2 linked regions of the Caenorhabditis elegans genome follow. The protein of the gene in region 1 interacts with the protein of each later gene in a pairwise test. Each region holds a gene or a part of one and is shown in the gene's direction. Other genes may lie near its edges.

Evidence for each region.
Region 2: the proteins of neg-1 (region 1) and sygl-1 interact in a two-hybrid assay, tested with the Caenorhabditis elegans proteins (one large-scale study listed by BioGRID).

Annotation. Positions count from the first base shown.
Region 1 is NC_003283.11:4,373,139-4,376,738, reverse strand, and holds neg-1 (Negative Effect on Gut development), read left to right. Parts: upstream 1-1,864; 5' UTR 1,865-1,892; coding exon 1,893-1,919; intron 1,920-1,971; coding exon 1,972-2,067; intron 2,068-2,301; coding exon 2,302-2,400; intron 2,401-2,450; coding exon 2,451-2,558; intron 2,559-2,612; coding exon 2,613-2,813; 3' UTR 2,814-2,977; downstream 2,978-3,600. Other genes in the region: F32D1.8 (BSD domain-containing protein), read left to right, coding at 1-42; F32D1.7 (Protein lilliputian), read left to right, coding at 572-1,112, 1,191-1,463, 1,510-1,601; fipp-1 (Pre-mRNA polyadenylation factor Fip1 domain-containing protein), read right to left, coding at 3,087-3,600.
Region 2 is NC_003279.8:12,481,826-12,487,031, forward strand, and holds sygl-1 (Ecdysone-induced protein 74EF), read left to right. Parts: upstream 1-1,983; 5' UTR 1,984-2,086; intron 2,087-2,355; 5' UTR 2,356-2,391; coding exon 2,392-2,574; intron 2,575-3,221; coding exon 3,222-3,500; intron 3,501-4,173; coding exon 4,174-4,332; 3' UTR 4,333-4,410; downstream 4,411-5,206.

The DNA of each region.
Region 1 (3,600 bases):
TGGTCCGATGACAGCTGGGAGTTTGCATACAACTGCAAGTAAATTGTGAGTTTTTCAGGATTGTGTGCACGTTTTTTTGTTAAAAACTTTAAATTTTTTTATAATTTCAGACTGGGTTAACAATTGCTAATTTTGTTTTGCCGTGCCAGGCCGTGTTAAGTGATCTCCCTATTTCATCACATCTGCTAATTTAGTTTTTGAATAGTTTTTTTGTTGTTCCCCATTTAATGTTATTTTCCCTTTAGTTTATAATTTTTAATAAGTTTTTAAAAATATTACAAAAATAAAATCAAAATAAGCCTAGAAATTTATGATCTACAGTAGTTTGTTGTGCAAAGTTGCTAGTGTGCCTGAGATTTTGAGATACTGTAGCTGGCTGCAAACTTTTAAATTTGAATTTTTGCGCGCGCGAATTTTCGGATTTTTAGTTATAACTAGTTTTTCCTTCGTTCTTATCGGTTTCTTTTGATTTTTCTTCGATTTTTCGGTTAAAAATCTTCAATTTTTCGGTTTAAAATGTCTCTTTCATGTTAAAATTAAAATATATTTATTAGTTTTGTTTCAGACCAGAATGGCCGACGAGGAGGATCCGTGCGGCGGTGGGAAGAAAAACCCTCGGAAACGATGCCAACCAGATGTGGATCCAGAAGAGGATAGTGAACCAGATTTGGACGGGCCACAGCCACCGTTTCGAGGACGCAGCAGCACTGTCACCGACGCCGTTCGACAAACGGCCATGGAATTTCGAAAGCGTGCACGAAGTGACGAATTCCGTCCGGCTCAGCAACCTGAACAGAGTGTCGTTGCCGTGAAGCCACCGACGACGTCGGCGCCAGTTACACCATTTCCTGCTAACCTTCCAGTCAGCGAGCAACTCGAAGACTTGAGTCTCCTGCCCGGTGTACGTAGAGTACGGCCACTTCCAAGAAGCAGATATCCGGTTGCAAATGATCCATTTGATAAATTCAGCGCGTATTCCGGTCCTGGCTCGAGTCAGCAAGCGGTTCCACGGACTATCAGCAAAATCAGTGAAGAATCTGGAAGTGGAAGTGGAAGTGGAAGTGGAAATGATAGTAGTGGAAGTAGTGGACCCACGAGGATGAGCGGTCAAGGTAAATATTTACGTAAATTCTATTTTTCCGGGGGTTTTAGAATTAATTTTCTTTTTCCAAAAAAAAAAAAAATTTCAGTTCCATCAACGTCCGGCCCACCACCACCACGACCACCGCCTGCTGGTCATCAAAATCCATTTCTGGGCAATCAACCGTCCACCTCAAACACGTCGGAGCCAAGCACATCCACGCAAGGCGTCTCCCCGTCTCGTACATCAAAAATTTCGAAAAAGAAGGCTCATCAGGCTGGGCTTCACTCGAAGGGCAGCTCTGAGGACTCTACCGACTCGGGAGAATCGAAACCATCGAGCAAGCAGCCACCGAAGAAGAGTCCAAAGTCCAACAAAAATGGTAAAGAAAATGGAAAAATGATATTTTTATCGCTGATTTTTTTCAGATCCAAACGCTCCTGGACCTTCGCGTAGACGTGATGACGACGACGATGGGGTGCAAGGTGGAAGCTCTGAAGGCTCATCTGAATCTCTTTAATTCTTGTATTTCTAACATTACATTCTTCTGTGCTATTCAACTTATTATTGTTTATTTTATTTTCTCTCATTCCTCACCGACTAAATGACATTCGTGTATATATAAACACTTCTGTGTGATTTTTTTTTCGTCGCTTGATTTCGCTGATTAAAGAATTTATTAATTTTCTTTTGACCTCAAGAGTTGTTGCTCTTTAAATTAATATCTTCAATTTTTGTGCCAAAATTTTGTTTTTGTTTTATGTAATGTAGCTCAATTTTCAGTGTGACCTTCTTCACCTCAGCAGCCATTATGTATTCTCATCCAGCACTGCTACAGGTGATTTCTCCTAGTTAGACCAATTTTTAAATTAAAAAATTGAAATTTACAGTTCCCTCTAATGTCCACCGACGCCTTCTACTCGACCGCTTTTCCAACAATCCCGGGAACTCCGAATCTTTTGGGATACACTGCGTACAGTCCACAGGTGCGCGGAAATCGCCGGCGAGCAATTCTAAAAAGCTTGTATTTCAGTAAAGCAATTGAAAAATTGCCTGAAAGTTAAAAAATTACAGGGTTTTTCGACACTTTCCGACAATATTTGAGCGTTTTCCAAGTGCTTCAGCTGAAATAAAAGCTATTTCCAGATAAACCAAATTTTTTTTTGTTCTTTCACTAAATTTGACTAGATTTTTTTCTTAATTTTAATATATTTTTCCAGTCGATCTTCAATGATTCCCGGCCGGCTTCTTCGGTAAATAACACTCCATCCACATCGTTCAATAGCTCAATTCATTCCAGAAATCGGTCGATTGCAATGGTTCGTTATAACAAATATTCGCTTTTTTACATTTCAATGCATATTTTCAGCTCCATTCAATATCGCACATCCTTTCCAATGACGACTCGCTGGGCTCGACAACGGAGAGCAGTACACCGAGCACGCCGGAAATTCATCCGAGCAATGCACCTGCAAAGGTTGGTTTCGACTCCTGGAAAGTTAAATTTTAGAAATATTATTTTTTTTTGCAGAAGACGATTCCACTTGTGTTGATATCGGATACCGATGAGGAATGTGACAAGAAAAGCAGAAAACGGAGGATTCGCTCGAAATCTTCGAAGAAGTCTCGCGGGATCCGTAAGAGCAGGAAACACGAAGCATCAGACTACCGAAAGAAGATTATGCTGGGAACTTTTGAAGGCAGAAAAATCGTGCTGAAGCTGATGAAATAATTTTAACACCCTCACCCCCTCATATGCATCCTACAAAGCTGAATAGTCGCTTATTTTTTATGTATATCGTTTATTTATTTTTAGTTTATTATTGACTCTGTTAACCCCAATATAAGCTGGATATTTATAGTTTAAACGTCAAATTCAAATAAAATTAACTTTTTAATGAAAAGAGATTTCTTTCGAGAAAGTTAAAATAAATAGGTGACAAACAAATGAAAAGAATACACTTGGAATGATAGAAAGCTAAAAATAATTAGAAAATATGAAAGATCATTCATCATCGGGAATCTCTTCCTTGACAACAACGCCCGTACTGGATTCCTCATCTTCGTGTCGAGATCTGGAGCTCTTCTCTTTTCTCTCTTTCCGACCGCTGCTGCTCTCCTCTTCCTCATCACCACGACGACTTCTCTTCTTCCGATCTTCATCATCTCCACGCCGTTCTCTCCGTTTCTCTCGTTCCCGATCATCTCGCTTTCTGCGCCGATCTCCAGACGCACTTCGGCTTCTATGTCTTCTGGAAGACGTGCGATCCGATTCTCGTTCTCCACGGCGTCTCGTCTCTCGATCTCTCCTGTCCCTGTCTCTATCTCTATGTGGGCTCCTTGATCGGGATCGCTTCCGTCGGGAGCTTCTTCTCTCCTCATCGTCATCACTAACCGTCGAAAATGCACCAGATCCCATGAGACTTCGCGGAGCTGAAGCAGCGCCAACTGGTCCAGGTCCGAAGCCAGCTCTCGAGTGTTGCTGAAATTGTGGAGGCGGCATCGCGAAACCGGGCGGT
Region 2 (5,206 bases), on another chromosome or scaffold:
GCACACGACGACGTTGAAACCAGGAACGCACATGAAGAGAAGTATGCTTAGGATCGTTATCCTGCTGAAACACGAAGCCACGGCCCACATTTTGAAGTGCCCAGGGTCGCATTGTAGTTTCCAAGATGTTTTCGTATTGAAAACGATCCATAATGCTTTGGATTCTCCTTAGTGGGCCCATGGAAGTGCTGGTGAAGCACCCCCACACCATGACGCTCCCACCTCCATGCTTAACGGTTGGGCATTGATACTTTGGAGAGTACCTAGAGCCAACAGGACGACGTACCCAGGAATTTCCATCACTCCCGAACAAATTGAACTTGCTTTCGTCAGACCAGATGCGCTTTTGCCCACGCAACTCGAGCCATGCGATTTTTCTTACTGATGAACGGTTTCTTGACTGGCTTTCGTCCGTGTAGTCCTGCTTGCTGTAAACGTCGACGAACAGTTCGTTTACTTGGTACAGGTTCATTTGGAGAACTTATAATCATTTGAATATCCGTGGCGGTCCTATGCGGATCTTCTCTTGCTGATCGGAGGATGTTGCGATCCATCCTATGGGTTGTCACTCGAGGCCTGCCGGGCGAGATTCTCAAAGCGACGGATTTCTAAACATTTATTATTAAAAAATAATATTTTTCGAACTCACCTCAGTTTGGTACTTCTTGATTACTTTCCAAATAGTCGACGGAGAACGTTGAATTTGCAGCGCGAGCATTTTCGTGGGTATTCCTTGTTCGAAGCCAGCTACAATGGCTTTCTTGACGTCCAAGGAAAGATTTTTACACCCAACAGATTTTACCATACCTTAAAAATAATTTATCAACCAAACAAATCCAGAGCAACAAACAGAGTGCGTTTTATTGATAATTCAAAAAAAATAATGAAAATTGGAAAAACGAAAAAATCAAAAAATTGAAATAAAATTCAGAAAAAATCGATAATCATGTAATGTTTGGTCCGCAAATTTGCGTAACATTTCGCTTTATGCACACGGAAAAATTCAAGTCAAATGGATGCTTGAGAAAAAAGTTACACACAAAAAACCAAAAGTGGATATCTTTTTGGCCAGCACTGTACGTTGACCGCAGTTAACATAACCGTATTTTCTCCCTCATTTTCTCCTATTTTCCCCCTAATTTCCCCTTTTTTTCTTTTTTTCTAGGAGTCGTCGCCGCTTTGCTGAAATCTTGCTTAAATCTATAAAAACAGACCACAATTTAGTGATTTTGTCCGTTTTGCATTTTCAGTAGGTGACCCTAGTTTGGAAATTTTGAATTTTACCATTTGAAGAGGTATTAGGTTGGGAGTTGGTGGGTGATAAGGGAGAGGTACTTTGTTATACTGTATTATTAGTATTATTAGTAAGAGTACTGTAGGATTTGTGTAGTTTGGGGAAATTTGAATTTTTTGCTATTATTAGGATAGGGCTGGTTTTCAGGCGAGTTACACGGGTTTAAAGTTGATGGCCTAGAAATCTTAAGGCCACCAATTTTTAGAATTTATCGATTTTAGTAGATTTGAGACATGTTTTCGATTTTGTCTGTTTTTCGGAATTTGAAGAAAATTTCCCTCTGAAAAAATCGATAATTTTTGAATTCCGGAGTTGTTAGTCGAAATCTCTCGAATTTGCGCTGTTTTCTGTCGATTCTCAGAGATTAAGGGTCCAATAAAATTATGTTGGCATGTTTTTTATTAGCAGTGTGTTCTGCCGAAATTTAATGAAAAATAGTTTTTCCGGCTTTTTTTAAAATAATATTTGTGTTTTTTTCGACGATAATTACCAATTTTCTTTGAATTTTCAAGGTTTTTTCTGTAGTTTTTACTTGTTTATCTTGTATTTCCAATTTATTTCAGTATTTCCTCAGTGGCGTCTTCAGTGGATTTCTTTTTTCGCGAAGAAGATCCCGAAAATTTGCAATTCCCACTAAAAGGACTACTGTAGTCAATACATTGTGTGACACCGCCACGCGAAAGCGCACAGTTTCCCACGCTTTTGCCGTGGGAATTTCCAATTTTCCCACGGTGATTTTAGCATATAAGAGGAGAAAAATGGGTCAATTTCCATTTATTTTTCGACGAAAATGTAAGTTTTTTCGATTTTTTATCAAATTTTGTTGGTTTTCTTGAGAATTTAGTGAAAAATATTGACTTTTAGATTAAATTTTAAATTTTGTCGGAAATTTTCAAATTTTTTGCATAACTTCCATGGAGTTAGAGTTTAATTGAATAAGTTTTTGTTCAAAAAATAAAAAAATTATGCCCAAAATTTATTTATCACTAAAACAAATTTTCGAAAAAAAATTTTTTTTTTGATCTACCCGCCGATTTTCTAATTTTTCTCCTTTTTTTCAGCGATCATCGAACCATTGTCATCACGCCACGTGCATAATGCCATTCCATTATCCAAAACTCTACATGGATCACCGCGGAAACATGTCCACCTCATCGTCTCTGACGTCATCGACAACCGCCACGTCATCATCGTCAACCGGAGGCGTCCGCAAGCAGATTCTCACGTTGAAGCCAAAGCAACCGAATGGTTATGTGCAACACTTGGAGATCAAGGCAAAGGTATAGATTTTTGTTTTAAAAATCATTTTTTTGAACCCTAAAATTGATTTTTTCTCTTTAAAAAGTTGGATTTTTCCAATAAAACTGTTTAAAAAAAGCTTTCAAAACCGAAAATTCGTGCTCAGCACCCTCGAAAACCCAAAAATCCCGCAAAAATCGATAATTTTCTCTTAATTTTGAAAAATTGGTCGAGTGGCGTAGTGGGATTTTCCACAACCTGCCACCAATCACAAGAACAGTGTTCGAGTCCCCACTGTGGCAACTTTTTTTTTGTTTAAGCTTTGTTTAAGCTGTTTAAGCGAAAGCTTTAACACATGCGGACATCAAAAATTTGACTGAAATTTCAGATTTTTCCCAGTTTTTACTCAAAAAATGTAATTTTTGAGCTTTTTTAACCGAATTTTCGGCTTAAAGCCTGATTTTCGCAGTCCCAAGCCCTTTTAGAACAATGCTTCAAAAAACAAAAAGATTTTGCCACAGTGGGGACTCGAACCCCGGTCTCGTGGCAGTGGCAGCCGACGAAAATCCCACTGAGCCATTTGGGCACTTTTTTGAAAAATCCTCAAAATAGCGGAAGTTATCGATTTTTAAGCCAAACAAATAGCTCTGGGTTCGATTTTTCCATTAAAAATTATCGATTTTTTCAGGAATCAAGCCAATCTTCGGTGATTTCCGGCGGTGTCCCGGTTCCGGTGACCCTGTTGGAGTTGAAGAAGAAGGATCGTAGCGAGAAGAATGTGGTGACCAACCTGAAGTATCGTAAGCCAACGGCGAATCATCATCTCGATTCGGTGCATTCTTCGTCGGAGCACCATCACCACCACCATCTGAGCCTGAGCTCTTTGACGCGCCGCCCGGGATCTCCGTCCTCGTCCGGTTACGAGACTGACTCGCTCGTCGATCAGGAGAATTGCGACGTTTTTTCGGTAAATTTAAAAAATTTCAAATTTGAGAAAATCCAGAAAAAAAAACGGAAATTTTGAACCAAAATTGACTTTTTTTTTTTTGCTCAATTTTTCCACTAAAAGTGAACTTTTTCATCTTTAAACTACTTAAAAATCAGCCTTCAACAATTTTTCTCATCAAATTCCGGTTTCTCTTTCCAAAAATCCAGATTTCTGCGAAAAATGTCCATATGGCGCAGTGGGATTTCCCATGTGCCTGCCAATTTTAAGACCCGGGTTCGTGTCCCCACTGTGGCAACTTTTTTTTTCGAAGTGCGATTAGGTTAATTTTAGTGTCCTGAGCTCGAAAATCTTTGATAAATTTATTTTTCCTCGCGGAAAACATGGGAAAAAATTTGAAAAACTTCGAAAATCCCTAAATTTTCGATTAATACCGATTCCCCATGACATCTGAGCACACTGTAAAACCTAATCGCAACGAAACAAAAAATTTTGATACGACGGGGAGTCGAACCCCGGTCTTGAGATTGGAAGCCGACGAAAATCCCACTGCGCCATTTGGACATTTTGCTGCAAACTGCCAGAAATCTAAATTTTAATGCTTTTTTCATAGTTTCAAGTGTTCAAAAAGCAGTTTTCAGTAGCTTTTTTTTATTTTTTCAATTAAAAAATTCAAATTTCCCTCCATTTTCAGAGTCTCTTCAACTCGTCGCTCAGCTACCAATCGGCTCTCGACCATCATCATCAGTTTCACGAGCTCGACATGCTTCACTCGCATCCGATTTGGTCTCCACAGTTACCGAACAACAACACTTCACTGATGATGGGCTCCAACAGCTATTATTTGCAGTAGAGCGTACTTGCTCTTTTAAATTTTCTAATCCCCCCCCCCCCCTAAAATCCCACCCCACGCCTAATTCTTTAACTAATAAGAATTATCAATTTTTTTGGTTTTCTTTCTGTGTAATAAACTCCGCCCCCCTATTTCTAGCCCCACCCCTTTATCTCTCATTTTTCTAATAATTCTTTGTTCAATCCCATCATTCTTACCCCAACTTCTGTTTCAGCTCCCCCCAATTCCTCCTAATTATTCTAATTTATTACAAGCTCCTCCCATCTCCAACCCTCCGTGCTTGCGAAAATAAACGTTTTATAAGTAAAAAATTGTGTTTTTTTTCTGAAATTTTTCGAAAAAATAGGTTTTCGACTCGGGAAGTACTTTACTAGTTATGGCAAATCGAATGAAAAGCTGAAAAAAATTTTTGCCACAGCGCGAGCTTGAACCCCGGTCTTGTGATTGGTGGGCGACGAGAATCTCACTGCGCCAATCGGACACAAAAGTGCTGTAATAATCGATTTTCGGTTGAAATTACTGTTTTTTACCACTTTCTAGACGATTTCCTTTCTTTTCTGTGTATTTTTTTTTTAATTTTTCTAGTAGGAAAATTGAATTTTAAGCGATTAATAAAGAAAAAAAATCAATTTTCAAGAGAGATTTTTGGAATTCAAGCATTTTTATTAAATTTAAAATCTTTTTTCTTAATTTCTACCTATTTTAGTTTATTTCTCCCATTTATTCCCTTTTGTTTCCATCCAAAACCCACAATTTCCGGCCGGTGTGCGGTGGAGCGCGCTTGCACACTTTTATTCCAGCTAGCTGCTCGCCCCGATTTTTGCTCAATTTCATTGATTTTTCGCCGATTTTCTTGCAGAATTCCATGAAATCC